4 linked regions of the Saccharomyces cerevisiae S288C genome follow. The protein of the gene in region 3 interacts with the protein of the main gene of each other region in a biochemical or structural test. Each region holds a gene or a part of one and is shown on either strand. Other genes may lie near its edges.

What was found.
Region 1: the proteins of CMD1 (region 3) and PUS2 form a complex in vitro, tested with the Saccharomyces cerevisiae proteins (one study listed by BioGRID).
Region 2: the proteins of CMD1 (region 3) and ASR1 form a complex in vitro, tested with the Saccharomyces cerevisiae proteins (one study listed by BioGRID).
Region 4: the proteins of CMD1 (region 3) and ZRT3 form a complex in vitro, tested with the Saccharomyces cerevisiae proteins (one study listed by BioGRID).

What each region holds. Positions count from the first base shown.
Region 1 is NC_001139.9:379,746-388,509, reverse strand, and holds PUS2 (pseudouridine synthase PUS2), read right to left. Parts: upstream 4,857-8,764; coding exon 3,744-4,856; downstream 1-3,743. Other genes in the region: PYC1 (pyruvate carboxylase 1), read right to left, coding at 1-3,314; MRH4 (ATP-dependent RNA helicase), read left to right, coding at 5,302-6,987; ALG2 (GDP-Man:Man(1)GlcNAc(2)-PP-dolichol alpha-1,3-mannosyltransferase), read left to right, coding at 7,239-8,750. UniProt on the Saccharomyces cerevisiae protein: Mitochondrial-specific pseudouridine synthase catalyzing the formation of pseudouridine at positions 27 and 28 in the anticodon stem and loop of mitochondrial transfer RNAs.
Region 2 is NC_001148.4:715,778-722,135, reverse strand, and holds ASR1 (ubiquitin-protein ligase ASR1), read left to right. Parts: upstream 1-1,711; coding exon 1,712-2,578; downstream 2,579-6,358. Other genes in the region: Arf family guanine nucleotide exchange factor SYT1, read left to right, coding at 1-1,099; U2 snRNP complex subunit RDS3, read right to left, coding at 1,176-1,499; NVJ2 (Nvj2p), read left to right, coding at 3,668-5,980; YPR089W (uncharacterized protein), read right to left, coding at 6,195-6,358.
Region 3 is NC_001134.8:454,464-460,197, forward strand, and holds CMD1 (calmodulin), read right to left. Parts: upstream 3,900-5,734; coding exon 3,456-3,899; downstream 1-3,455. Other genes in the region: IML3 (Iml3p), read right to left, coding at 1-67; AIM3 (Aim3p), read left to right, coding at 359-3,202; ALG1 (chitobiosyldiphosphodolichol beta-1,4 mannosyltransferase), read left to right, coding at 4,409-5,734.
Region 4 is NC_001143.9:113,962-123,152, reverse strand, and holds ZRT3 (Zn(2+) transporter ZRT3), read right to left. Parts: upstream 4,361-9,191; coding exon 2,849-4,360; downstream 1-2,848. Other genes in the region: U5 snRNP GTPase SNU114, read right to left, coding at 1-636; TPO5 (Tpo5p), read left to right, coding at 917-2,773; LST4 (Lst4p), read left to right, coding at 5,167-7,653; STE3 (Ste3p), read left to right, coding at 8,526-9,191. UniProt on the Saccharomyces cerevisiae protein: Transports zinc from storage in the vacuole to the cytoplasm.

The sequences.
Region 1 (8,764 bases), on a different chromosome or scaffold from region 3:
GCACCAATGTGTAATGGATCATGCATGTCTGCTTTGGATTTAGTAACAGTTTCCACTTTTTGTGATCTGTCAGCAACACGAATTTTTCTCATTTCACCATTCAAATCAAAGTAAACTTCTCTTTCACCGGTCTTTTTGTTCAAATCACCCACAGCCTGTAGCTTGATAATTAGCGTTTTACCTTGTTCGATTACAACTTCAATTTCTTCGTCAGTCTCTAGTGGAGACAAAAAGCTTCTTGTTGGCAATACAGATAAATCACCATACGTTTCTCTCATCTTTTGGAAGTCTTCATAAACTCTTGGGTACATGTTATAAGAAGCAACGTCGCACTCATCAACATCACCAAATCTATTCTGCAAGTCTTCTCTAATTTTTTCGAGATCAAATGGCTCTAGTTCCAGGCCTGGACGACAAGTCAACTTTCTTCTCTTGTTCCTTAAAACGTCTGATCTAAATGGTTCTGGGAACCCACCATATGGTTGGCCGATTAAGCCTTCGAAGAAATCCATAACAGAGTCAGGGAAATCCAAAGAATTAGCCAGGCGTCTCACATCATCGGAAGTTAATTTATTGGAGACCATAAATTGTGCCAGATCACCAACGACCTTCGAAGTTGGGGTAACTTTGACAATATCACCCAATAAATAATTGGCTTCTCTGTAAGCTCTTTTTGTTTCGGCCCATTGTTCTCCAAGACCCAATTGTTGGGCTTGAAACAACAAGTTTGTCAATTGACCACCTGGGATTTCATGTTGATAAACTTCTGGATCTGGGCCCTTCAAGTCAGCCTCGAAACAAGAGTATAACAATCTCATCTCTGCCCAATATGCATCTAGTTCACGGACATGCTCAACGTTAATACCAGTGTCAATATTACCTTCTAATGAAGCCAACAGAGCATTGATTGATGGTTGTGAAGTTAAACCAGACATTGAGTTGATGGCAACATCAACGACATCGGCGCCCGCCAGAGCACACGCAGTCATTGATGCAACAGCAGTACCTGCAGAATCGTGAGTGTGAACATGTATTGGGAGATCAGGGTACTTAGCCCTCAAAGATCCAATCAGTAGTTTGGCAGCTGCTGGCTTCATGGTACCTGCCATATCTTTGATACCCAGGATATGAGTGCCCATTTGGACAATTTTTTCAGCAATTTCCAAGTAGTAATCCAAATTGTATTTCTTGCCTGGCTGAAGCATATCCCCAGAGAAACAAACAGTGGCTTCTACAACACCACCTGCCTTCTTCACAGCATCTACACCGACCTTCAATTGTTCCAAGTCATTTAAGGCATCAAAGACTCTAAATATATCAACACCATTATCCTTGGCTTGCTTGACGAAATGGTCAATAGCATTGTCAGGCAATGAAGAATAAGCCACACCATTGGCACCACGCAATAACATTTGGAATGGAATATTAGGCACCAGAGATCTTAATTTTCTCAAACGTTCCCATGGATCCTCATGCAAAAATCTCATTGCAACATCGAATGTGGCACCACCCCAACATTCTAAGGCGAAACGACCTGCAAGGGCATGTGCGGTTGTTGGAGCGATTGTAGCCAAATCGTGGGTTCTGACTCTTGTTGCAAGTAGAGATTGATGAGCGTCTCTCCAGGTGGTGTCCATCAATAAAGTACCATTGAACTGTCTAACTTGTCTGGCAAATTCAGCTGGCCCCTTTTCTAGTAGCACTTGCCTCCATCCGGATGGTGGTGCAGACTTTGTAACGTTGATGACATTGCCCTGAGCATCGTGCAAATGGGGGACACTTGGATTTGATTTTAATTTTGGCAAGCCAATTTGACCCTTGATAGATGAACCATTGACTGCCACGTCGGCGAGGTAATGTAAAAGTTTTTGGGCTCTGTTTTGTGATGAAACCATTTGGAACAGTTGTGGGGTGTCGTCAATAAAAGTCGTCCAGTATGTACCCTCAATAAATACTGGATTGGTCAAAAGAGTCAATAGGAAGGGAATGTTGGTCTTGACACCTCTAATTCTGAACTCGATTAATGCACGAATCATTTTTCTACGAACGATTTCGTAGGTGGAACCGGAGCATGAGCATTTGACCAGCATTGAGTCGTAATGAGGTGAGATTATTGTTCCTGCATAGGCGTTACCACCATCCAGTCTAACACCATTACCACCTGCAGAACGGTACACTTCTATTCTACCGGTATCTGGTTGGAAGTTCTTAGCAGGGTCTTCCGTGGTAATACGGCACTGAATGGCAAAGCCACGAGTCGTAATTTTGTCCTGGAATAGGCCCAGCTGGGGTAGAGAGGCACCTGCCGCAATTTGGATCTGAGCCGCCACAATATCTATACCGGTAATTTCTTCTGTGATGGTATGTTCCACTTGGATTCTTGGATTAATTTCAATGAAATAGTGTCTATTTTGGTTATCAACCAAGAATTCAGCAGTACCCGCATTTCTGTAGCCACACTCTTTGGCCAATTTAACTGCATCTGTCAAAATGGCGTCACGGACTTCACGGGGTAAAGTCTTTGCTGGGGCCACTTCGACAACCTTTTGGTGTCTTCTCTGCACGGAACAGTCTCTTTCGAAAAGATGAACCACGTTTCCGTGGTTATCGGCCAACAATTGAACTTCAATATGCTTTGGCTTGTCCAAGAATCTTTCCACAAAGCAGGTACCATTACCGAAGGCAGTACGGGCTTCGGAGGTAGCACGTTGAAAGGCATCTGCCACGTCGTCACCTTCTCTAACGACTCTCATACCTCTACCACCACCACCAAAGGCGGCCTTAATGATCACCGGGTAGCCGTATTCATTGACGAAGTCAAGTGCTTCCTCTACAGTTTCTATAGGACCTGGTGTACCAGGAACGGTGGGCACATTAGCTTTTGCTGCCAGGTTTCTAGCTGAGACCTTATCACCCACGGAGTCAATAACTTCAGCTGGAGGGCCAATCCAAGTGATACCGGCCTTCACTACTTTGTCGGCAAATTCCGAATTTTCAGACAAGAACCCATAACCTGGATGGATGAAATCTACCTGGTGTTTTTGGGCAATGGAAATGATTTCGTCAATGGCCAAATAAGCGCCGACGGGGGTATATTGGCCTACTTCACCTATGACGTATGCTTCGTCAGCCTTTTGTTTGTGCGTTGAAAGACGATCTTCATGAGAATATATAGCTACCGTCTGCATAGACAGTTCATGAGCGGTACGAAAAATTCTGATTGGAATTTCTCCTCTATTAGCCACCAATATTTTGTTCTTTTCACCCAAGAGATTGAAGTTATCTCTCAAGCCGGCGAATTTTCTTTGCGACATTGTCTAAGAGGAAGGGGAGAGGCTGAGATTTTCCTTTTGTTATCTTCTTTTCGTTTATCTACATACTCAAGACCTCCTTGTATCTATCGAACTAGGCGATTACATATATACTTATATACAGCGAGACTCACTTACCGAGCATGACCCATTCCATTGAGATTAAGGTCGAGGACATGATTGCTATCGCGGCGAAACTTTCGCCACCTAAAACCAACCATATGCGACAGCCCACTAGCTTTCTCCCCACGTCAACTACGCACTGCGGAAAAGGCCAAAATGTCCCGAATGATGCGGGATGACGACACGCATGCCGGTGGAGCGGTCATGACCAAATTTGTGCGCGCAACTGGCGCTTGTCTAAGTTGAATAGCCAATAAGATGAGAGTATTGCCCGCCCAATGTCGCGGGTCAACCCGCGACATTGGGCGGCTAGATTAGAGGCGTGGCCAGGCGGTTCATTTGTCGTACAAAATGGCAAAACACGTGACGCTGTGTCTCCTCGTGTGCGATCGCAGTACAGATCTGGCGTTCTCGGAAACGGCACATGCGCTCAAGAGTGATATCGTCCGGGCGGATTTCGCAATACAGCAAATTGCGCAACTTAGTGTTATACCCGTCAAACACAGGTCCCTCTAATAATAGGCCTTGTGCGGGCGCCCTCGGAATGTATTTCCTAGGCCCGGCGTTAAAATAGTTACGTACAATATTAGGCGGCAATTGGCAACGGGCTGCAAGTACGGCAAGCGCTACCATTCGTCGAATCTGATGCAACATAAACGACTGCCCGTGGATCCGCACACATATCCATCCCGGTGAGGCCTGCGACACTACAACCTTTTTGATATGGCGCTGAGCACTAGGATCCCCCCAAAGCTTTCCTGTGGTAAAGTTGTGAAAATTATGCGTTCCCACGTACTCCTGCATGGCTGCCTCAAACGCGTCCAGCTTCGAGGGCGACAAGCAGTAGCCGCTAAGGGTACCGCTCAATAGCCCCACGTAGTCTTGTACCAAAGGATCGCTCTCGCTTAGTTTCTGTGCAGTGTCCTGCAAACGGCACAGCTCATCCCCGCTAAATCTCCCACGCGTCTGTTCCAGGAACGTATCCCACACCTCTTGCGAGCCGTCTTCGCGGTAGCATCCCCCCACGTTTCGATGCAAAAGAGAACTCCGGGGTGGACCAATGAGTATAAATTCTGGGATAAGGTATTGGTACCATCGAGAATCGCACGCGGATCTAGCATTAAACTTTTTATTGACAGGCTGGATACCCCACACGCGTATTTCGGGCGGTAGTGCGGCGTTTAACTTCGCTACTGTGTCCTCTCGCAATGTGATCTTTAGCGACAGTAGATTCAACATAGCGTGTACACCCTTGTCTGTTCTTGCCGCTGCCATAAAGGAATTTTTCTTCGGTGCCAATGAATTTTCTTCGGAAATGGCTCCTACGTCGAAGAGCTTGGTGAGAATCTCACCTTCAATCGTCTTGTGTGGTGGGTTGTATTGCATTCCATAGTATCCGCTGCCACAGTAACCTAAGAGCATAACGACCTTATGTTTACTCGGCCTTCTCTTTACTACCGCTGTTAACGGTGTCGGAGTAACCTCATCACTAGTACTACTACCATTTGTACTGAGCAGAACTGTTAATAAATGCTATGTTCACATCGATATATATACATATGTGTGTAAGGGGCTACAATTCATACATACGAGTATCTCTTTATTCTCTGGCCTGTAAATATTTGTCTTAAAACAGAGCTAGTCTTTAATGCCGTCTTTTTCATTTTCTTTTCTCGATGGGTTCTATTTCGCAATACAACCGCTCTTGCACAGCACAACCAAACCATATTCTTGAAATTTTCGAAAGGAAGCAAAAGTTCAAATCACTTACCACGGAATCATAAATTACAACTATAATAATAGCGGAATAGATATTAGTGATGAGTAGAAATACTTCTTCAGATCAGATTAAAGTATAATAAGACAAATGTCGCTTTTTTTCAAGCCAGTAATTTCACCACAGTGGTCTTTCCCCGTGCTTCTCAAGATAGGAGTGCGTTCTTATGCGGGAGGCCCAAGAACAAAGCATAAAGGAAACTCTCCATTAGCTTCAGTGCCTACAGGCAGTAGTAATAAAAACCGAAAACAGAAGGCCAAAGGCAAAAAAGGTAACAAAAAGAATGACCCTGACCAAGCATTCAACTTTGGAGAGTATGGTGGATTGAAAAAAGACGTCGAGATGAATATGGACAGTACGAATAAACTCATTCAAAAAATATCGAATTTCGACCAATTGCTTATACTTCCACCTGTCAGAGACGCTGTGAAAGAAATCATTTCCAAAGAGTCCCTGAAGCTACAAGATAGTAGGAAAAAAACCAGTGAAAATATAATACCGAGTCCCATTCAAACAGTGGCCATTAAGAGAATATCCAAAAATTTAATGGATCCAAAGTTACAAATACATGCGATTGCCGCTGAGACAGGTTCAGGTAAGACCATGGCCTACTTGATACCTTTAATAGACTATTTGAAAAGACAGGAGTTGGAAACTCCCGAATTATGGGAAACATTAAGAAAAAACGTTCTGATTCGGTCCATCATACTGGTGCCTACGCATGAATTGGTTGACCAAGTATACGAAACTGTTTCCAAGACGAAAACCTTGTTAGGCTTAAACTCTTTCAAGTGGGACAAGGCCACATCATATCGTGATTTATTAGAGAACATTAAAAATAGAATAGATATTTTAGTCACTACTCCGGGAAAACTACTGAACCTGTTCTCCATAAGAATGATAACTAGACCTGATAAAGTCTTGTCCAAAGTGGGTTTCGTAGTACTAGATGAAGCTGACACACTTCTAGATAGGTCATGGCTTGAAGAAACGCACTCCGCAATAAAGAGAATTCCTAACATTAATCACCTTATTTTCTGTTCCGCTACTATTCCTCAAGAGTTTAATAAAACAATGCAAAGACTATTTCCTACAGTGGTTCCTATAATGACACCCAGACTGCATAAGTTACCATTCGCTTTGGACTTTAAAGTTATAAATTCTGCCTTAAGTCCTTTCAAGGGATCCAAGATCAAAGCATTGGCACAAACTTTATATGCTATTTCAAATGATGACACGGAACCAGGGTTCGAGAAAAGATGCATTATCTTTGTTAACGAAAAAAAGAATGTTCCTGAAATTGTTAACCTATTGAATAAGAAATTCGGTCATAATGCCATCGGTTTAACTGGTGAAGATACATTTGAAGAAAGATCCGAGAAAATTATGCCCTTTTTATCACCACCGCGACCACTTTCGGAGGTGGTTGCTCAGAGTACTTCACCTCCCACTTCCTTGAAGAAATTTGAAATTCCTGATTCCAACATCGTCATCGGCAAATTGAAAAACACAAATTCTAATGGTACCGCACCCAGTAACAAGTCTTTGCATGTACTCGTAACCACCGACCTCATGGCAAGAGGGCTCAATTTCAAAGGTGTACGGAATGTTGTTCTCTACGATGTACCCAAAACGTCAATAGACCTGATACACCGAGTGGGCAGAACTGCTAGAATGAAACAGGGCGGCCGCGTATTTATGCTAACTGACAGTAAAACAAAATCTTGGGCTAAAGCTCTTCCAAAGATCATCAAAAAGCACCAGAGATTATCATGATAAATGTATATTCTTGTAAATATTATAACATATATACGAAAGGGTCACAATCACAGATACAATTTATAGATCGAGAGCCTTGCGTATAGCTTCTTTTTTTATAAACAAGTGCCTGGCTAGATGAACGCGCGAACAACAAAATAAATGATGTATTCATTTTAACATCAAAAGATTACGTTCGCCATTTAAGAAGTCACGAAATAGATACAGTAGTAAAGACAGATAAAAAAGAGTCGATTAGACAAGCAAAAATGATTGAAAAGGATAAAAGAACGATTGCTTTTATTCATCCAGACCTAGGTATTGGGGGCGCTGAAAGGTTAGTCGTCGATGCAGCATTAGGTCTACAGCAACAAGGACATAGTGTAATCATCTATACTAGTCACTGTGATAAATCACATTGTTTCGAAGAAGTTAAAAACGGCCAATTAAAAGTCGAAGTTTATGGTGATTTTTTACCGACAAACTTTTTGGGTCGTTTTTTTATTGTTTTCGCAACAATTAGACAGCTTTATTTAGTTATTCAATTGATCCTACAGAAAAAAGTGAATGCGTACCAATTAATTATCATTGATCAACTGTCTACATGTATTCCGCTTCTGCATATCTTTAGTTCTGCCACTTTGATGTTTTATTGTCATTTCCCCGACCAATTATTGGCTCAAAGAGCTGGGCTATTGAAGAAAATATACAGACTACCATTTGACTTAATAGAACAGTTTTCCGTGAGTGCTGCCGATACTGTTGTGGTAAATTCAAATTTCACTAAGAATACGTTCCACCAAACGTTCAAGTATTTATCCAATGATCCAGACGTCATTTATCCATGCGTGGATTTATCAACAATCGAAATTGAAGATATTGACAAGAAATTTTTCAAAACAGTGTTTAACGAAGGCGATAGATTTTACCTAAGTATAAATCGTTTTGAGAAAAAAAAGGATGTTGCGCTGGCTATAAAGGCTTTTGCGTTATCTGAAGATCAAATCAATGACAACGTTAAGTTAGTTATTTGCGGTGGTTATGACGAGAGGGTTGCAGAAAATGTGGAGTACTTGAAGGAACTACAGTCTCTGGCCGATGAATACGAATTATCCCATACAACCATATACTACCAAGAAATAAAGCGCGTCTCCGATTTAGAGTCATTCAAAACCAATAATAGTAAAATTATATTTTTAACTTCCATTTCATCATCTCTGAAAGAATTACTGCTCGAAAGAACCGAAATGTTATTGTATACACCAGCATATGAGCACTTTGGTATTGTTCCTTTAGAAGCCATGAAATTAGGTAAGCCTGTACTAGCAGTAAACAATGGAGGTCCTTTGGAGACTATCAAATCTTACGTTGCTGGTGAAAATGAAAGTTCTGCCACTGGGTGGCTAAAACCTGCCGTCCCTATTCAATGGGCTACTGCAATTGATGAAAGCAGAAAGATCTTGCAGAACGGTTCTGTGAACTTTGAGAGGAATGGCCCGCTAAGAGTCAAGAAATACTTTTCTAGGGAAGCAATGACTCAGTCATTTGAAGAAAACGTCGAGAAAGTCATATGGAAAGAAAAAAAGTATTATCCTTGGGAAATATTCGGTATTTCATTCTCTAATTTTATTTTGCATATGGCATTTATAAAAATTCTACCCAATAATCCATGGCCCTTCCTATTTATGGCCACTTTTATGGTATTATATTTTAAGAACTACTTATGGGGAATTTACTGGGCATTTGTATTCGCTCTCTCCTACCCTTATGAAGAAATATAATGTCTACTTAAATA
Region 2 (6,358 bases), on a different chromosome or scaffold from region 3:
TATTGTTAACTCCGCTAAAATTCATTGGAAAAAGGAATTTGCCATATTAACATCATTGGGGCTTTTGATCTGCGATAAAATGGACTGGATAAATCCACAGATGATGAAGGACCCAAAATCAGGAACTACAAACTATATAATTGATTTTAAATCAGGATTTTCTTTTGTTCCGGGAAGTACGATTGACGTGTATAACGGTTTATTTGCTGATAGGGAGCGAGATTCACTTGGGAAATCTCATTTCGCAAGTTTGGTACTTGCGTATACAGAGCATCATTCTACTGGGAGTCATACAAGCAACACAACTGCAGCAAGTAGCTCCGCCAAACACAATGAAGGAGTCTTCGAGCCATCTTCAGATGAAGAGGATAGCATAACGAATTCTACTGATGGTACGAGCAGTGTGAGTAACGGCGAGAGTGACAACGATAGTGTTTCTAGTTCAGATAATCAACTCAGTTCAAATGACAGTAATGAAGATTATCATTCCATTAAGGACGAGTATCCGATTTTCGAAGACGAAAATGCCGATTGTCTATTATACTTACATACATGTCATCGAAATTTTATCTGGAAATGTGCTAATAAGTATGAAAGGGACAACTGGATCGATTCTATCAATCTATTTTCAGCATATGACGGATGCTATGTGGAAATTGGTAGTATAGCAAACACTATTTGTAATAAGAGAAAGCTTACCATTTTGCAGAGGATGGAAAGACTTAGGTCTATAAAATCAGCCAAATGGGAGAAATTGAAAAAATTTGAAAGCACTCTGATGCTTATGGGAAAATGTGTTCCTATTAGCACAAAGACTAAGACAGATATGATAAACCGCATAAGACAGCTGGCTGTCAGAATGGACTGGTTAATCTACGAAATTAAGAGAAGCGAGCTGTTTGTAAGTATCATAAAAGAAGTGACTCGCAAGCAGGCTGAAAAGAATATCTTAGAGCATGGTAAAGGAGAAGAGGAGGGGCAAGGCAATAACGACGATAGTGATGGTATAGATGATATAGAGGAAAGCTTCTTATTCAACGAGAACAGTTTGCAAGTGTGCGTGAGCGACAGTAGTTACGACGAATATAGTAACGAATAAGGGGAAGAAAATAGTACCATGGGTTATAAATGCATGTTATTTATTTATATATTTTTACATATTCTATATGTATGTGTTATACCTTTTTCTTTTTCTCGAAATGTCTATCCAGTCTATTGCTGCCAAGGTTTAAGATCCTAGGACAGCCATCTTTATCTTTACCTAAGCGGCAGCACTCCCAACAATAGAATGCGTCATTGACTCCAACATTTAGATTACAAATTATACAATTTTTAGCTTGTTTACCAAACGAACAGTTTTCACATACTCTAACTTTCCTTTTGGGCCTTACATAAGAGTCGCAGATAGGACATTTGCCATCACATTTTTCACAAAGAAGACCTGTCTGTACACCAGGCTGCTTTAGGCACATTATTAGATCAAACTGATGGCGGGACATGTTTTTTTTGTTGGAGGCTTGTATGTGTGTGGATCTTTTTTGTATCCATCTTCATTTTCTATGTTGAATGCCTTAGTAAGTGAGAAATATGGCAAGTAATGCATATATGGAAGAACAGAAAGTGAGAAAAAAAAATAGAAAAAAAGATGCAAGGAGTTGAGCCAAGGGAGAGACCATACCCTCAGCCAAATATCCAAATATCATATAAAAAGATGGAAGAGTGTCCTATTTGTTTGGCAGATGACCAAGAGGGTGAACAATTTGGATGTTTGAACGTTTGCGGGCATAAATTCCACTTAAACTGTATAAGAGAGTGGCACAAGTATAGTATCAACTTGAAGTGCCCCATCTGCAGGGTTGAATCCACCCATTTAGAAGTTGGCGAAGGGCAACATGCACTTTCTATAAATTTGAAGATGGGGTTTATGATTAAGAATGCTATCGATTATGTGGGGGCCGAAACAACTAACGAAAGAAATGAGGACGATACAGGGGAGCAAGACCAAGAAATAGAATTTCTCAGCGAAAGGCTTAGAGGTACGCTGGTGATGGATACCATTAAGATAATTCAGTGCAGCATATGCGGAGACACAGATGTTTCTCGATTAAGCCTGTATTGCCAAGACTGCGAAGCAATATATCACGAAACATGTCTACGCGGGCTAGCTTGTGAGGTGGGCGATCGCAATACGTGGCAGGAGTGCACAGATTGTAGATCAAATGCATTGCTCGAGCTGCGCATGGGTGCTATCAGTAGCCAACTTGCTAGCTACGATTCCAGGAATTCCATGATTTTTGCTGGTGAGTTACGGGACAAGCACAGCGTCAAGACACAGCAGATGTATGAACAGATACGGAATGCCAAGCACAAAATCCAGATGCACGTGCGACGAGCACTGGACCGGTACCCACTGCCTCTGCTGCGCTTCAAGGATGCCTACAAGCACGTCAACAAGCAAGTATCCCGCAAGTTGTACCGTCTCTCTGACAACAAGTACCTGCCTGACCAGTACGATTACGACTCTTTAGCCCGAACTGGAGTGCACACAGAACTCCTAATTTACTGTCATGATGAGTAGTAATGCAATATAACATTAAAACAAGATATAAACAGTATAATACTCTAGTATGAGCCCTAAAAAAAACCCTCAGAAGCGGGTGACCCATCTCTCGTACGACGTATAAAAGCACAAGTTTGACCCATAGAATTTTTTTTTCACATCTTCCTTTGTTTGCTTCTTCGTCTTCAATAGAAAACAGTTGAACAAACTCAAATATAGCACCATTGTGAGTGCTACTGCACTACAAAGAGGCAGATTAAGCGACCAGTAGGTCCCTTGGAAGAGATAATATATGAGTTCCTTTTTTCTTTTTCCATTTTCTTTCTGTGTGACTCCCCTATGATTAAAAATTATTAATCATATACCAATTGTTCCGACTGAATAGTGGTTTAACTACATGTCGACAACCCTTTTTCGTTAAGTTTCAGCCTTGTATGAGGGGTGCCACGGAAGGGAAGAAAAGAAAGCATTTATCTTTCATTATTATCTTTTTCATGCCTGCAATGGAATTTTTAATTTTCCTTTTGATATGATGATTTGTTGTCGACCGGGCGGACATATTAGTATCTGTTAAAGGGTCGCCGTCTACTCTCATCGTTCTTTTGTGTACAAATTTTTTAAAGGAGCGATGTTGATGGCATTATGGTTCTTTAGTGGAGAATTGATGATTGGTCACAAGACATCTGATTTTTTCGGAAATTTGTTTCTTATTTCAATTTATTCCTTATCAGTTGATTTGGATGATAAAAGAGACTGTTGCGGACTAGTTTATTATGATGATTTTTTTATATTCACACTGTACTAGATTGGTCTCTTTAACGAAGGGGCTAATTGATGACTACAAAATAAAAAATAACTGATTTAATGACTCTGAAAAACTAGTTCTACAACCTAACTAATCTTGCACCCTATGTAGCCCTTTAAATAACTCTTGGTTCTCTTCCCTTTAGATCTTTCATTTTTGCACCTAATTGGTATGGCACATTTTTCAGTTTTCTCCCACTTAAGTTTTCTCCGTAAATCCCTCTTGTATAATAACCAGGAGAAAGGGTTTTGAACACATCGAAGAGCAGAACAGCAAGAGAAAAGTAGCATTAAAAGACCATAATGGCTAGCTTGAAGGTATTTCTCGCAGTTTACTTGCTTGGCGGTATCACATTTTTGCCTTTGGTCCTTTTCACCCTCTATAAAATCCATTTATTGTACAGTAACCTTAAATCGGCATCGAAGAAGGAGCTAGATCATGATACAGCAGACGAAATTGATGAGAAAACCAGACTTCTGGCTCGCGATATAGACCCAGAGTTTAAAGCACGCAAGCTAGAAGAGCAATTAGGTGTCAAAGTTTTTAACAAGGGTTGGATCACCGTCACTAAGCAATATTATTATCATTCTTCAGAAGTGGCTGTAATTTTGAAGAATTCTAATAATAATAAAGATTCAGACACTGCACTTCAAGAGCAAATCTTGCAAAGAACAGACTTGAAGAAAAAACAAAGGTTTTTTGCAGTATTAAGACATGGAAATTTGTTTTTGTATAAAGACGATTCTCAAAATGCAAATTTGGTCCATGCTATATCTTTACAAAACAGATTTATCACCATTTGGCCCCGTTTCGATGAACTGGGTAAGGAAGAATTGCCAGATGCCTCGCTTTTCACTAAGAGAACTTGTATTGCTATTTTCAAGAATGACCTCGTTTCTATAGACTCTAAAAACCATAATGTTATCCTGCCACACTTCGACCCACTTACCAGTGCTGAATCGAATAACGGTGACATCTCTACCAATGACACTACACATGAATATCAATCACAATTCCATAGCTCAAATCAGTTCTTCTTGTATTTCGATAATAACATGGACAAAGAAGATTGGTATTATCAGTTGATCAATGCCTCTAAAAACAGTAATTCCCTCTCAACTGGTTTATTGGATCCTAATGTTTCAGCTAACGCAGCTCATTTGAAGACTAAGGATATGTTACAATTGATTCAGGATATCAACTCTACTGAAAATCAGTTAACTACTAAGTGGCTGAATGCTCTTCTTGGGAGATTATTTCTTTCTCTGCAACAAACTGATACGTTGAATAAGTTTATTCATGAGAAAATCTGCAAGAAATTGAATAAAATAAAAACCCCAGGGTTCTTGGATGATTTGGTTGTTGAAAAGGTCGACGTGGGTGATAGTGCTCCATTATTCACCTCTCCTGAGTTATTAGAATTGTCTCCTGAGGGTTCGACTAAGATTGCTATCGACGTTCAATACAGGGGAAACTTGACAATTATTATTGCGACAAAGGCGAGTATTAACTTGGGATCACGTTTCAAACAAAGGGAGGTTTCTTTGCAGTTGTCCATAAAAATTAAAGAATTTTCCGGTCCACTTTTATTTTTAATCAAACCACCTCCATCTAACAGAATTTGGTATGCTTTTCGCACCGAACCTATAATGGATTTTGAAATTGAGCCCATTGTCAGTTCAAGTAAATTATCATACAACGTCGTTACTAACGCTATAAAGAGTAAGTTTGCCGAAGCCGTGAAGGAGTCCCTAGTTGTACCGTTTATGGATGATATTGTTTTTTATCCAACACCTAATGAAGTATACAGAGGTGGTATTTGGGAGGAGCAGGATCCTGAGGCAGCGGCGAGGGCTCGCACTGCTGCGGCAGCCTCAGATATGAATAATACTAGTGCTAAGGAACACTTAGAAGCACTTCAAGAGGGCGGAATGAAAACCCAGAGTCGAATCAAAAAAGCCTTAAGGCCAGAGAGAAAGAAAGAAAACCTAAAAGATCTTGTTGACGCATCTGGAGTGGCAACGAAAACTACAACCCAGACAACAGTCACAACCGCGACTAATGATGATGTTTCCAGTTCTGAAAATTCTACCAAGTCAAGGAAATACTTCAAGAATTCAATCAAGAAAATCGGTAGATGGTATAAGGATAATGTTGGTAATTCGAGTGACACCGAAGATATGGATGAAATAGATGTTCAAGATAAGAAAAATGACGATTCAGCAGATGAGAGAGAATCAGATAATCCTATCCTTACATCCAATCCAAAAATGATTTCTAATAGGAGACCAGTACCAAGAAGGCCTTCACAACCGTTAAATACACTATCTCCAAAACTAGAAGGCAGGAAGGAAAAAGACACTGAGAATTTTCCAGTTCCACCGTCGGCTTCAAATATGAATGCTTCAAAGATGTTTGCGAACAAAGAAAATAGAAAGTTTTCTGTATCCTCAAATGATTCTCAGAATTCGCTCAAAAATGGTGATCCCCATGTGAAAGCTTCAAAACTTGAAAGCTCTCAAGCTTTTGTTAAGAAGACCTCTCAGAATCGTTTTAATGACGGCTTTTTCAAGCAAGATTTAGAATTTGAAGAACAGCGAGAGCCCAAACTGTGAGTCCACGGTACTATATTAAAAATAAATAAATATCACTTGAAGCTATATGCAAAATGTTGTAACTAAATTCGTGTCAAAATATCAAGCAACTGCCCCTTTTAACTCATTATTTACATTTCTATTCTTCCATTCTTTTGAAAAGAAATAAGATGGATACATCCGTAGAATTATTATATAAAGTTCGATACAAAAGTTCACTGTTCTAACGCACAAATTACCACGGATTTTGTTCCATATCATCATTATTCGACCAAGCAGGACGTTGAGCAGTTGAAGACGGAATATTTAATTCTTTAAAATAATCATCATTACCTACATTGAACGCGTTGCTCTCGGGTTCGACTGTTTCGTTAATATCTATACTTTCCCCTACCCCTT
Region 3 (5,734 bases):
ACTTTGCTATACCATTTTCCAGTGAAAGTTGCTTGCTGATTCCTAAAAACTTCCAAGTATAAGGCATTCCATCCAAAGGAAGTACGTTGATACCTATAGACAATCAAATCAACCATGCAGTCGACCAGATCATCCCACTATGGTTGTTGTCTATTTCATATCGGTGTCGGCATTTTTTTTTCCCGTAGTACCACTGGATCTGCCTAAATCGCGCTTCAGGAAAACCAGGGACCACCCTATTTTTTTATATTTCATCATCTAAATTAAGTGTATACATATATGGATAAAGTCATTTTGAGTTTACATAATCGTATGTTCGAGAGAGGTCTTTCATAAAAAAATCAAGTTATCAACCAGCATGGGATTTTGGGAGAACAACAAAGATTCCATCACTTCAGGGCTGAAGAGCGCCGGTAAATATGGTTACCAAGGAACAAAGTACGTTGCCAAGACAGGGTATAAGGCAAGTAAGAAGCACTATAACAACAGCAAAGCGCGTAGGGAAAGGAAGAGTGGTAAGAAAAATTCAAGTGATGAGGAGTATGATAGCGAAGATGAGATGGAGTACGAAAGAAAGCCGACCGATATAAGAAGTTTAAAAGACCCAAAGTCCTTTCCTCCCCCACCTTTGAAACCTGGACAAAAAACTTATACAGGACAACAGCAACAGCAAATGCCAAATGGTCAGGCCAGTTATGCTTTTCAGGGTGCATACCAAGGCCAACCTGGCGCAGGATCGACGGAACAGTCACAATACGCACAACCACAGTATAATCAGTATCCACAACAGCAGCTGCAACAAGGTGTAATGCCACAGCAACAGCAGCTGCAACAAGGTGTAGTGCCACAGCAGCCGCCTATATATGGAGAGCAAGTACCACCGTATGGGTCAAATTCTAATGCAACCAGCTACCAGTCGCTGCCGCAACAAAATCAACCCCAAAATGCAATTCCAAGTCAGGTATCTCTGAACTCTGCTTCTCAGCAAAGCACAGGGTTTGTCTCGCAAAATCTGCAATATGGTACCCAATCAAGTAATCCGGCACCATCACCGTCTTTCCAGAACGGTCTTCAGTGTCATCAGCAGCCGCAATACGTATCACATGGCTCAACCAATCTCGGACAATCCCAATTTCCATCGGGCCAACAGCAGCAGCCCACGACACAGTTTGGCCAGCAAGTTTTACCATCACCTGCACAACCACAACAGCAACAACAAGGGCAACCATTACCGCCCCCGCGCGGTCAAGTGATCTTGCCAGCGCCCGGAGAGCCTCTGTCAAATGGCTTTGGGCAACAGCAACAGCAACAGCAACAGCAACAGCAGCCTCTGAACCAAAACAACGCTTTGTTGCCACAAATGAACGTGGAAGGAGTTTCTGGGATGGCTGCGGTTCAGCCTGTCTATGGCCAAGCCATGTCAAGTACTACAAACATGCAAGATTCGAACCCCAGCTATGGAGCTTCACCCATGCAAGGTCAGCCTCCAGTCGGTGGACAACCGCCTGTGCCTGTAAGAATGCAGCCACAGCCACCGCAACCAATGCAACAGGGAAACATCTATCCGATTGAGCCTTCTCTTGATTCTACTGGCTCAACCCCACATTTTGAAGTTACTCCATTTGACCCAGACGCACCTGCTCCGAAGCCCAAAATCGATATTCCCACTGTAGACGTTAGTAGCCTTCCACCACCTCCCACTCATAGGGATAGAGGAGCAGTTGTACACCAGGAACCTGCGCCAAGTGGGAAAATACAGCCTAACACAACCTCTTCGGCGGCTTCATTGCCAGCAAAGCATTCAAGAACTACTACTGCAGACAATGAAAGGAACTCTGGAAACAAAGAAAACGATGAAAGTACCTCCAAGTCGTCCATTTTAGGACATTATGATGTAGATGTCAACATCATGCCACCTCCAAAACCTTTCAGACATGGACTTGATTCTGTACCTTCTGAGCACACCACGAAGAACGCACCAGAACGGGCAGTGCCAATTCTACCTCCTCGGAACAATGTTGAGCCTCCTCCTCCCCCATCACGAGGCAATTTTGAGAGGACAGAGTCGGTGCTGTCAACGAATGCCGCTAATGTACAGGAGGATCCCATTTCTAATTTTTTACCTCCACCGAAGCCATTTAGACATACTGAAACTAAACAAAATCAGAATAGTAAAGCATCACCTGTAGAAATGAAGGGTGAAGTTTTGCCAGGGCACCCCTCTGAGGAAGATAGAAACGTTGAACCATCGTTGGTACCTCAATCGAAACCGCAATCGCAATCTCAATTCAGAAGAGCTCATATGGAGACACAGCCTATTCAAAACTTCCAGCCACCACCAAAACCATTTAGGCGTTCACAATCGTCCAATTCTAGTGATAGTTCTTATACTATCGACGGACCTGAGGCAAATCATGGGCGTGGGCGTGGGCGTATAGCTAAGCACCATGATGGTGATGAATACAACCCCAAGAGTGAGAATTCTACAGAAAACGGTCGTTTGGGTGATGCCCCCAACAGCTTTATTAGAAAAAGAGCGCCAACCCCTCCGGCCCCATCCAGATCTGAGAAGTTACATGAGGGTACTATAACATCCGAAGTTGATAGTTCAAAAGATGCTAATAAATATGAAAAGTCAATACCTCCTGTAACTTCGTCTATTCAAGCGCAACAGTCTACGAAGAAGGCGCCTCCTCCTGTTGTAAAGCCAAAACCTAGAAATTTTTCTTTAAAGGCCAATGAATATCCCAAGGAACTTACTAGGGAAGCAACTGGACAAGATGAAGTTTTAAACTCCATTACCAATGAGTTGTCGCATATCAAATTAAGAAAAACAAACGTTAATTTGGAAAAGTTAGGCGGTTCGAAAAAAGTGAAGGACTCTAGCCCTGTTCCCTCAGATCTAGATGAAAAATATGTGTCTGCATCGGGGTCTATTACTCCACCAAGGCCTCCACCTTCTAGGTCTAGTCCAAAGAAAGTGCCGCCTGTTGTCCCAAAAAAGAATGATAACCTGAAGAAAAAGCCACCAGTGGTCCCAAAGAAAAAGCCATTACTAAAATCGCTCGAACCAAGACCTATTGAAATGGAGAGGGCCTATTCGGGAGATATTTCTGCTGCTGACGATAACTTAAATCCTTTTGAAAGATACAAACGAAATGTTGTTCCTCAAGAAGATGACAGACTGCATAAATTAAAATAATGAAATAGCTACGCAACATTGAACTTAATACTGGCTAAATTTAGTTATCCGCCTTGGTAAACAATCCGTATCCTTTATTTAAACTGTCTTCTCAGGAACATTACTTATCTACATAAATAACATTAACCCTGTCTACGTACAGTATATATTTGCGTGTGGTTGTCAAACTTTAGATGAAACGATACTCAACGAATACTATAAAACCAGAATGGTAAGGGTAAGATAGCGGGAGCAAAAAATCACAAGGATGCACCTATTTAGATAACAAAGCAGCGAATTGTTGAATGTTGATCTCGCCTGATCCATCACTAACCTCTCTTAGCATATCATCTACTTCGGCATCAGTCAATTTTTCACCAATGGATGTTAGCACGTGTTTCAACTCAGCGGCGGAGATTAAACCATCACCGTTCTTATCGAATACTTTAAAAGCTTCTAGTAGTTCTTGTTCAGAGTCATTTGATTTGAGTTGACGAGACATCAGAGCCAAAAATTCACTAAATTCGATTTGATGGTTACCATCAACATCTATTTCGTTCATCAAATCATTTACTTCTGCTTCACTGGGCGAAAGACCCAATGACCTCATCACAGTGGCCAATTCACTTGATGAGATAGAGCCATTGTTATCTTTATCAAAGAGGGCAAAGGCTTCTTTGAATTCAGCAATTTGTTCTTCGGTAAGATTGGAGGACATTGTACTTTTTTATTTGTATTAACTAAGCTCTTTCTTTGTAGTTCGATAGTTTCCGGTCAAGAATAAGATTTCTATCCAGTCAGAGTACCCTTGTGAGTTAACAAGATCTCTTGTTAAACACCTTCTTACGCGGGCAATAAAAAATTCTAAGAATAAAGTCATATCACAGTACACGAAAATATAAATACATCTTGAAAATGTCTCAAATTGGGTGGAAAAGAGGGTGCTTGAATTCATTAGGACATATGGTTGATGTTCTCAGGTTCTACTTATGTTTGCTTTGTCGATTTTTGCATGCTTTGACTGTGACTTTCCTGTCTGATATCTTTGTATGGCTTGTTGCTAAAACAAGGTCAATCCAAGCAGTGATCATCTTGCACGTTGCTTCAATAGAACGCGCATATAGCAATCATCAAGTTAATTGGTCATATATCTTTCAATCAGCAATTAGCAAAGCCATTAGAGGGTAATTGTAACGGCATTTTAGGGGCTATAGTCAATTGGTGAAAATGTTTTTGGAAATTCCTCGGTGGTTACTTGCCTTAATAATATTATACCTTTCCATACCGTTAGTGGTTTATTATGTTATACCCTACTTGTTTTATGGCAACAAGTCGACCAAAAAAAGGATCATCATATTTGTGCTGGGTGATGTAGGACACTCTCCAAGGATATGCTATCACGCTATAAGTTTCAGTAAGTTAGGTTGGCAAGTCGAGCTATGCGGTTATGTGGAGGACACTCTACCCAAAATTATTTCCAGTGATCCAAATATCACCGTCCATCATATGTCAAACTTGAAAAGAAAGGGAGGCGGAACATCAGTTATATTTATGGTAAAGAAGGTGCTTTTTCAAGTTTTAAGTATTTTCAAATTACTTTGGGAATTGAGAGGAAGCGATTACATACTAGTTCAAAATCCACCGAGCATACCCATTCTTCCGATTGCTGTGCTATACAAGTTGACCGGTTGTAAACTAATTATTGATTGGCACAATCTAGCATATTCGATATTGCAACTAAAATTTAAAGGAAACTTTTACCATCCTTTAGTGTTGATATCTTACATGGTAGAGATGATATTCAGCAAATTTGCTGATTATAACTTGACTGTTACTGAAGCAATGAGGAAATATTTAATTCAAAGCTTTCACTTGAATCCAAAGAGATGTGCTGTTCTCTACGACCGCCCGGCTTCCCAATTTCAACCTTTGGCAGGTGACATTTCTCGTCAAAAAGCCCTAACTACCAAAGCCTTTATAAAGAATTATATTCGCGATGATTTTGATACAGAAAAAGGCGATAAAATTATTGTGACTTCAACATCATTCACCCCTGATGAAGATATTGGTATTTTATTAGGTGCCCTAAAGATTTACGAAAACTCTTATGTCAAATTTGATTCAAGTTTGCCTAAGATCTTGTGTTTTATAACGGGTAAAGGACCACTAAAGGAGAAATATATGAAGCAAGTAGAAGAATATGACTGGAAGCGCTGTCAAATCGAATTTGTGTGGTTGTCAGCAGAGGATTACCCAAAGTTATTACAATTATGCGATTACGGAGTTTCCCTGCATACTTCAAGTTCAGGGTTGGACCTGCCAATGAAAATTTTAGATATGTTTGGCTCAGGTCTTCCTGTTATTGCAATGAACTATCCAGTGCTTGACGAATTAGTACAACACAATGTAAATGGGTTAAAATTTGTTGATAGAAGGGAGCTTCATGAATCTCTGATTTTTGCTATGAAAGATGCTGATTTATACCAAAAATTGAAGAAAAATGTAACGCAGGAAGCTGAGAACAGATGGCAATCAAATTGGGAACGAACAATG
Region 4 (9,191 bases), on a different chromosome or scaffold from region 3:
AAAGTTTATCATTCTAGACTTGGATTCTAAATCGGTGCAGAGTAGAGTGGAACCATTAAGTTTAATGGAAAGACCCCGGTCAATCTCTTGTTTCAAATTATCCAGGTATCTTAGCGGTTTCCATCCAAGTTCTACATTCTTAGACATATCTGGTATGCGTTTGTGTGAGTCGATTACTAGGAGATCCATCAAAGAGGTCTTACCTGAGTGAAGAGGTCCAATGACACCAACATTTATTATCCTCTCCGGAATGTTAGCCATTGATAACATATAGTCTCGATTATATCTAGTCTTCGGAATGTTTTTTTTTAATTGTGTAAAAATTGTATGCTCTTGCAACTTTGTTCGTTCTGTAACCGGCTCTACCAGTGGAGTCTGTGGTGACTGTGTGTTCTTAGTTTCCATTAATACTTCCACTTCCTTACCATAAGGGTGCTCTAAGGAAATTCCAAGTTCCTTTTTACTTCCTAACGAGGTAAGTTGTCTGCTCTCAATCTCATTGTTGTTGCCGCTCCCCTCAAACGTATTGGTTTGATATTGTTCTTGCTCATCCAGCACACTTTCTTCTTCATCCGAGTCAAAAGGATCAACTCCGATCAAATTTCCAAACTCATCGAATAAATCGTCACCTTCCATTTTGCTATGTTAGGAGCTATTGTGTATCGCTTCTGTAAAAGCAGCTAGCAATCGTCAGCCGTTGGCAAGTAATGCCCCAAAGCCTTGTTTTCTGCCACTTTGAAATTTTTCAGGCCTTTCCGGCATTAAAATTTCCGCAATGAGGCTTTAACAATCATTAATCATCCCATAAGGATAAGCCAAAAGAACAGATCATCAATTTGACGAAGAACATACCAGTCCGTGTATTTGTTTGCCATTGTACAATAAAATAAATAAAAATAAGTCAAATAAATGAAAAATGCCAGAGTATACGCTACTGGCTGATAATATAAGGGAGAATATCGTTCATTTCGATCCGAATGGTTTGTTTGATAACTTGCACACCATTGTTCATGAAGATGACAGTCAAGAGAACGAGGAGGCCGAGCATTTCAATTATGATCAGGTGTTGGATAAATCGTTATTGTCAAGAGGTTCTATTGTCGGTCTCGGTTTAGGACTAATGAGTCCCGTTTTAGGAATGTGCACTAGTATGGCCATTGGGCTAATTAATGGTGGTCCGTTAACTATAATGCTAGGTTTTTTAATCAGTGGAGTGTGTATATGGTTTTCGTCGCTTTCTCTTGGTGAGATTGTTTCAAAATTTCCGATGGAACTGCATGTTGGGAGTGCCATGTTGGCCCCGGAGAAATTGAAATTAGTATGTTCGTGGTACACTGGCTGGTTAATGCTCATAGGGAATTGGACTATGAGTACCAGTATTACTTTTGCAGGCGCTCAACTTACCATTTCTTTGATTCTGATGACGAACTCCAACCTAATATCCGAGGCACACTTGATTTTTTACACAGTCATTGTATTTTACTTAGTTGTGACTGTTGTAGGCCTCGTGAATTTGAAATTTGCAAGATTTATTGAAACAATAAACAAAGTCTGTGTTTATTGGATCATATATGCCATTATATTTATTGATATTCTTCTACTAGTATTCCACAAAGGTAAATTTCGATCTTTGAAGTACGCGCTATTTCACTTTGATAATAATCTATCAGGGTATAAAAGCGCATTTCTTTCCTTCATCATTGGATTCCAACAGTCTAATTTCACGTTACAAGGTTTCAGTATGTTACCTGCTTTAGCTGACGAAGTCAAAGTTCCTGAGAAGGATATTCCACGTGGTATGTCGAATGCGGTATTGTTATCCGCGTTCTCTGGAGTCATTTTTCTTATACCAATAATGTTAATCCTGCCAGATAATGATTTGCTTTTTACCAATCATAAGGTTCTACCAATAGTGAACATTTTTACAAAATCGACTGATTCGGTGGTCTTGTCTTTTTTTTTAGTGCTCCTAATTTTAGGAAACTTACTGTTTTCCGGAATTGGCTCGATTACTACATCTTCTCGTGCGGTATATAGTTTTAGTCGTGACCAGGCTATACCATACTACGATAAATGGACCTACGTCGAACCGGATTCTCAGTCAAAAGTCCCCAAGAATTCTGTTGTATTGAGTATGATAATATCATACTTTTTAGGTCTGCTAGCTTTGATTTCAACGGCCGCATTTAATGCTTTTATAGGCGCTGCAGTGCTCTGTCTTTGTTCTGCGACTTTCATTCCGTTAGTCTTGGTGCTGTTTACGAGAAGAAGAGCTATCCGAAGCGCGCCAGTAAAAATCAGGTATAAGTTTGGTTGGTTCATCAACATTGTTTCTATTGTGTGGCTCTTGTTATCTATGGTTTCTGTTTGCCTACCAACGCAAGTGCCTGTAACTTTCAAAACAATGAATTATGCTTTAATGGTGTACGTATTCTGCATTTTAGTTATCACTGGTCTTTATTTCAAATGGGGGAAGTATAATTTTAGATTACCCTTGGCAGATGACATCAAGGCTCCAATTCCCAGTGATGCGGAAGAAACTGTTTTTGAACTAGAGGATAGCAATGTTGAACATACTCTAAACTCGGGAACCACAGTGAAAGAGTCTGTAGAAAATAATTCTGAAGAAGGTTTCATCAAGGTGCATCCTAAAAGTAGTACAGAAAATCCCTTTGAGGAAAATGAGGAAAACGTGATAACCGATTATGGTGATGAGCACCATACAGCAGAACAAGAATTTGATCTTGCCGATGATCGTAGATATGATATATGATATATGATCGTGATTATACACCGTTATTTAATGGGAAAAGACTTATATAGAAAGAATATACGTAGTTTTAATTTATCAAGTGAAAAGGGCACTCGCTAGAATTAGCAAAACGCCAGTGCAGCACCATTTCAAGCAAGTTGTGCCTGAGCTATGGGACTGTTTCATTTCTTCATCACCTTCTCCTTGATGATGATGATGTCCATCGCTAAATCCGATACCAGTTTGGAACATTTGTAAACCAATTACTAATAGGAACCCTGCAGTAACGCTCAGTAAAAAATCCATGTTGGGTTCGTGATCCCTTGGAGTACTACCTTTAAAGATGAAATAACCTATCAATGCACCTAATGGTTGAGATCCACCACCGAGAACGGCAGTAATCAAAATGGCAACCCATTTAGATTCGAAAACAGTGTAGAATGGTAACGTCATTGCAAATCCTTCGACAAAATTATGGATCGTCAAACTTAAAAAAATGGAAAATCCCAAGGACTTTGACGAATCTGACCTGTTAGTGTAAAAAATAATAAACCCTTCGGGAAATTTGTGTAATGCAAGGACTAGACAAGTTTGCATACCAATAGACAGTAATTTGGAAAAAGGGGTCTCTAAGTGATGATGGTGGGGGTATAATGAACCATTTTCGGGATGGTATTGTGTGTCTGCCAATGCGGCCGGATTCTCAGTTACATCATTTCCCAAAGGTGACGAAAAAGAGTGCGACAACTGGTTGGAACCATAATTTTCGGGCGATTCAGAGGAATGATGATGGCGGCTCGAAAGAAAATTCTTACGGTACAACGATAGGTTTTCAAGATCGTAACCGATATTATTTTCCACGCATACAAGGCCACGATGATCCTTGTCATCGGATTGTCCATTATCTTCTGATCCCTCGCATCCATGTGGCACGTTTCTTTCACTTTGAGAAGACTTTATCACTGGTGGGACACATGCAATATATTCTGGCTGCTCTGATTGCAAGAGCGGAGTGCACTTGTTTAGGTCACAACACTCGCCTTCTGATTTCCTTCTGGTTAATAAGTCAATTAGGGACATTTTCTTTTTCATTTGGGGTCTATCGCTATCCTTTGTAATCAACGGGTCATTTTCAGAAACACTGGAAGAAGATGTTGCATAACCATGCTCAGAGGGAGCATTTTCTAAATCATGATCGTTGCTAAAATTCGAATGCGAATCCGCATGTGAGTGTGAGTGCGAATGCGAATGTGATTTGGAGTGTATATGTGAACCTGTAGCATGGTCACCGCTATCAGCACAGTGTACCAACGATTCGCTGGCGAAAGCGTGGACTAGGTAGTTTAAGAAAAAACTGAGGCAAATACCCAAAAGCAATCCAGGAAAAACCTTGAACCGGTTTGATTTTTCGATCCGAGGCAATAGCATGTATAGTGAAGTAGTGATCATAGATCCGGCACTTAGAGAAAGACCATAGTTGACCAACTTAGATTGGCTATTGCGCTTGCTATCGAAGGCAACCGATAACAACGGCACACACAGGGCCCCAAGTATGCACAGCACCGACGATATAAGAGAAAACAACAACCACCTGGGAATTTTTTCCATTTTCTTGCGTTTCTTCACTGTGATGCTTGTGAGAATATTAGGATATACCAACGTGCAACTCTGAAATGTCAAAACGGTCGTGTATAAATAAATGATATACCAGTAGGTGAAATCATCTCATTTGTCTTTCTAAAAAAGTCCATTACCCTTAAGGTTGTTGTCACAACCCACGGAGCAGTTTTAGAGGTGCAAAATTGAAAGAATGGCCACATTTTGAGCAATTCATCGACAACAAGAGCTTATGATTAACTTGGGTTGTGGGCAATTGGGTGTACTATGAAGCAGCCAATACCTGTTTTACAACAGTATTCTCAGTTTCAGCTTAGAGATGTGTCAAATCGAAGGCTAGTGTGGTGCACGGAGTTTATGGCACATTGGTAAGTAATCATTGCAACTTTTTTTTATTTGAGGAATATAGTAAGAGAGAAGCTTTAGTGATGGTCAAAGAAGAGAGGAATACAAGTGAGTTGTATCTAGGATTTTTTATTACGTGAGTGTTGTTTTACTTTAGTCGGTAGGAATCATTGTTATTTTTGTCTGTTTGTTTGTCTCTATTTTTGGGTACACGTGCGTGTTTCTTCTAGTGGATGGTTTGAACGAAGCAGGTTCTCAGGATTGATTGATTGATCTGCTTTAGTGTGTAACGTTCTGCGACTAGCTTTCGTTGCTACCGATATATAAAGAAAAAAAGGAGAGCGTGTGTTTGGAGCGTCTTAAACCCCATTGGTGAGAGCCTCCAGTACCATTTGCCTGTTAAAACTGTCTTGTGTGTGGCCTTGTAGAGAAGGTGAAGAGGGAGAGTTTATATGTTGGGTAATTTACTGAGAAATAAGACGAGTTCGTCTGGTTTTGAGAAGAGCTCAGAGCATTCCGATTTTTCCTCCGTAGTTCCCAATGTCCCTGTATACTGCAAAGCGGCAAGCACAGGAACTACTAAGACCGCTGCTGGAGCTCTTTTAGATACTGCAGTCAATGTGGAAAAGCCTTCGGAAATGCTATCAACGACTTCTCCGCCCATTTTAGATCATATATCGGATGACTTAAAACTGAAGCTTTTCGGCTCGAGGGATATTCCTTATAGTCGTCCTATCGATACGTTACAAAACAACGGAGGTCTTGGTACTGATAAAATCACGTCTATTAACGAAAAAACGTATGCATTCAGGATTTTGATCATTGAGGAAGCGGGTCAAATGGCGTGTAGGAACAACTACCGTGATATCTTCGATTACACTACGTCAAAGATTTCAAATTCGATGGAGCAGATACGGCCGAGTGAATTGAAGGAATATATATTTGGTTCTCCCGTAAGATCTTCCGATTTGACGCAGTGCGACAAGATAAGGACGATTCCTAACTCGGATTTGGTACTCATAACTAGAATTTTCTATTACACACACCAATACAACCGCATCGCAATTAGCTTATGCATACCGAGGATATTGTTGCCCGTAGTTGCAGAGTCGTGGTCTTCCATTTCATCATGGTTGACCCAGACTCAAAAAATGCTCATTGGTTTCTTGACTAAAAACCGTATTATGCAAGAAAATACTGGCAATTACAGCAATAATTCAGTCATAAAATTGTCAAATATTGACATCAGGACGCATTATCCCAAGGAAATTGAAATAATGGTGCAAACTTTACAAAAAAGAGTCATACCAGGTTTACGTTCTATGTCTGAGATTCCTAGGCTTTTCCTTTACCCTGAGACATTTAAAGAATTCGTTCACGTTTGGTTCAAAAGTATATTTAATTGGATTGAAATCAAAGATGGACCGAAACTAGGCTTCCTTCCTCTCCTAATGGCAATGATTATATCTGATTACAGGCACACTATAAGAGAACTAAAGACATCCAAGATCGTAATCCTGTCAGGAAACATGGTGGTTGCTAACAAGTTACTGTTCATCTTATCGGCTTTATTGGAGCCAAAGTACAAGGGACAAATAACGATACGGCGGGAAAACATAAGATCGGATTCGTCCGCTGTATCAAGAAATAAGTCTAACAATAATTTTGTCGATAAGCCTGAGACGGAATTGAGCACACTGACTTCAACAGACAACCTTTTGAGTCGCACAGAAAATAATAGCAATCATAATTACAACAACAGTAATGTGAGCTCTAACAGCATTGGATCACCCAATTTCCATTCTTTGAGGAAAGGATGGCAAATACCCAATCGGAGGAACTCGAACACTTCAGTATCTGTGTCTTCTAGTGAGTCTTTAGCGGAAGTTATTCAGCCATCTTCCTTCAAAAGTGGGAGTAGTTCATTGCATTATCTATCGTCTTCTATCTCAAGCCAACCTGGTTCGTACGGTTCTTGGTTCAACAAAAGGCCAACAATTTCTCAGTTCTTTCAACCAAGCCCTTCTTTAAAACACAACGAGTCGTGGGAGAGGCTGCAAACAACTGCTGGAAATATGCAAAGGACTTCAAGTTCGTCTTCTTTGCAGCAAGCAACCTCCAGGTTATCACTAACCACTCCGCAACAATCACCGTCTATCAGCGAATATGATGAGTATCCTTGGATGGGCACACCTGGCTCTCCTAATGTTGGAGATGTGTCTCACGCACCCCCATTGGTTAAGAATATATCATATAAATTTCCACTAAAGAACGTTGAGTTGAAAAGAGATTGCCAAAGGATCTCTCAGGATGATCTTTTGGATGAGGCTTTTGAAAGAATATGTCAGCCCTCTTTGGCTGACCTTAATTCCACTTACGAAATTTTTCCAGGTAACTCTTCTTATGCGGATATTTTGACTACTGATTCTGATATTGATGATGGCTTGATGAATAAACCTCTGGAACTATTGCCGAAATATACAATGTATTTAACCCATTTTAACAATTTTTTCCAGTTGCAAGCATGTCCTGCTGGTCAAGAATCAGAGAGCAGAATAACAAATTCTATGAAGATTGACCTGTTAAAGGCGGATTACACAAGAAGTCTATTAGTATCGTTACGTTCAAGGGACATTAGGGATGTCGCATTGAAAAGAGAGTTTACTGGCAATAACAACAATAACAGCAACCAGAATATCTATGATGAGAATTTTGTCGGAAAAAGGAAGTACGTGTTGAAACAGAAGACCAGAAAAATCTTTTCCTGTGGCAAGATTGGCAAGCTAAGTACTAGTTTGGAAAACTGCGTTAATTTTGTTGAAAATAGTATAAAGAGTGCAATGATGTTATATGATGATAATGGAATAGATAGTGAGCTTCGCGATTCAGAAGCTTTACGGATTTTTTCATCTCTTGTTCATTATTGTAATGCAGGTTAATGTTTTCTCCTTCTTTACATGTTTAATATATTCCAAGTTACCTAAGAGGTGTACGATATTTTTTTCTTTTATATATATGATTTTCTCTATTCATTTTTTAGTTTTTTTTGATACATAAGCGAATCGCACATTGCGCAACTTCAATTTGTTGATTCGCCAAAGTATTCTTACCATAAAACAACCATTCGTTGCTTTACCCTTTCGTAATCATTTACCGTGATAACCATAATCAGAAACTTATTATTTCAGCCTAGTAGACCGGCCAAGCAGGCCTTGTAATGTTTCTCTTGATTGCTTGAATCTTTTAAGCAGCCAAATCTTTCCAAAAAAATGCAATTATCAGAACAAAACTATTTAAGGTGACTTCTCCGTATTTACACCACCAGAAGCGTTCTGGCTCCCCTTTTCTCTAAACGTTAAACATTTTACAATTGAAATGTTACCAATCCTATATTATTGTACCACATTGCCAGATTTATGAACTCTGGGTATGGGTGCTAATTTTCGTTAGAAGCGCTGGTACAATTTTCTCTGTCATTGTGACACTAATTAGGAAACTTCTCGACTATCAATGTGTAAATGAAGGAATAATGGCGGAAACTTTGAAACTTTGTCAATAATTGCATCATTGGATGCGTTTCATTTGGCCGTTATCACGGAGAGGCAGAGTTCTCTCCACAATTTGGGCAGAAGTCTTTTGAAAAGACATATATATATATATATATGTATATGAGTGGATGCTTAAGGTAAGAATAATTTCTGAATTCCCAAGTATTCATTTTGTGCAGTATTCACATATTCTATTTTATTGCTTTTTAACTTTAGAGGCAATTAAATTTGTGTAGGAAAGGCAAAATACTATCAAAATTTTCATGTCATACAAGTCAGCAATAATAGGGCTTTGTTTGCTAGCTGTGATACTATTAGCTCCCCCTTTAGCATGGCATTCACATACCAAGAATATTCCAGCAATCATTTTGATAACATGGCTTCTTACAATGAATTTAACGTGTATTGTAGATGCGGCAATATGGAGTGACGACGATTTCCTCACGAGATGGGATGGTAAAGGTTGGTGTGATATTGTCATCAAGTTGCAGGTTGGTGCGAATATTGGCATATCATGTGCCGTTACCAACATCATTTACAACTTGCATACAATTTTGAAGGCAGATAGTGTTTTACCGGATCTTTCATCATGGACGAAAATCGTCAAGGACCTTGTGATTAGCTTGTTCACACCTGTCATGGTCATGGGATTTTCATATCTGTTACAAGTATTTAGATATGGTATCGCTCGTTACAACGGTTGCCAAAACTTATTGTCTCCGACATGGATTACCACTGTTTTGTATACCATGTGGATGCTTATATGGTCATTTGTGGGCGCTGTTTATGCCACCTTAGTACTGTTCGTGTTTTATAAAAAACGCAAGGACGTTAGGGATATTTTACACTGTACCAATTCAGGTTTAAACCTGACAAGGTTCGCAAGGCTGTTGATATTCTGTTTCATTATTATTTTAGTCATGTTCCCT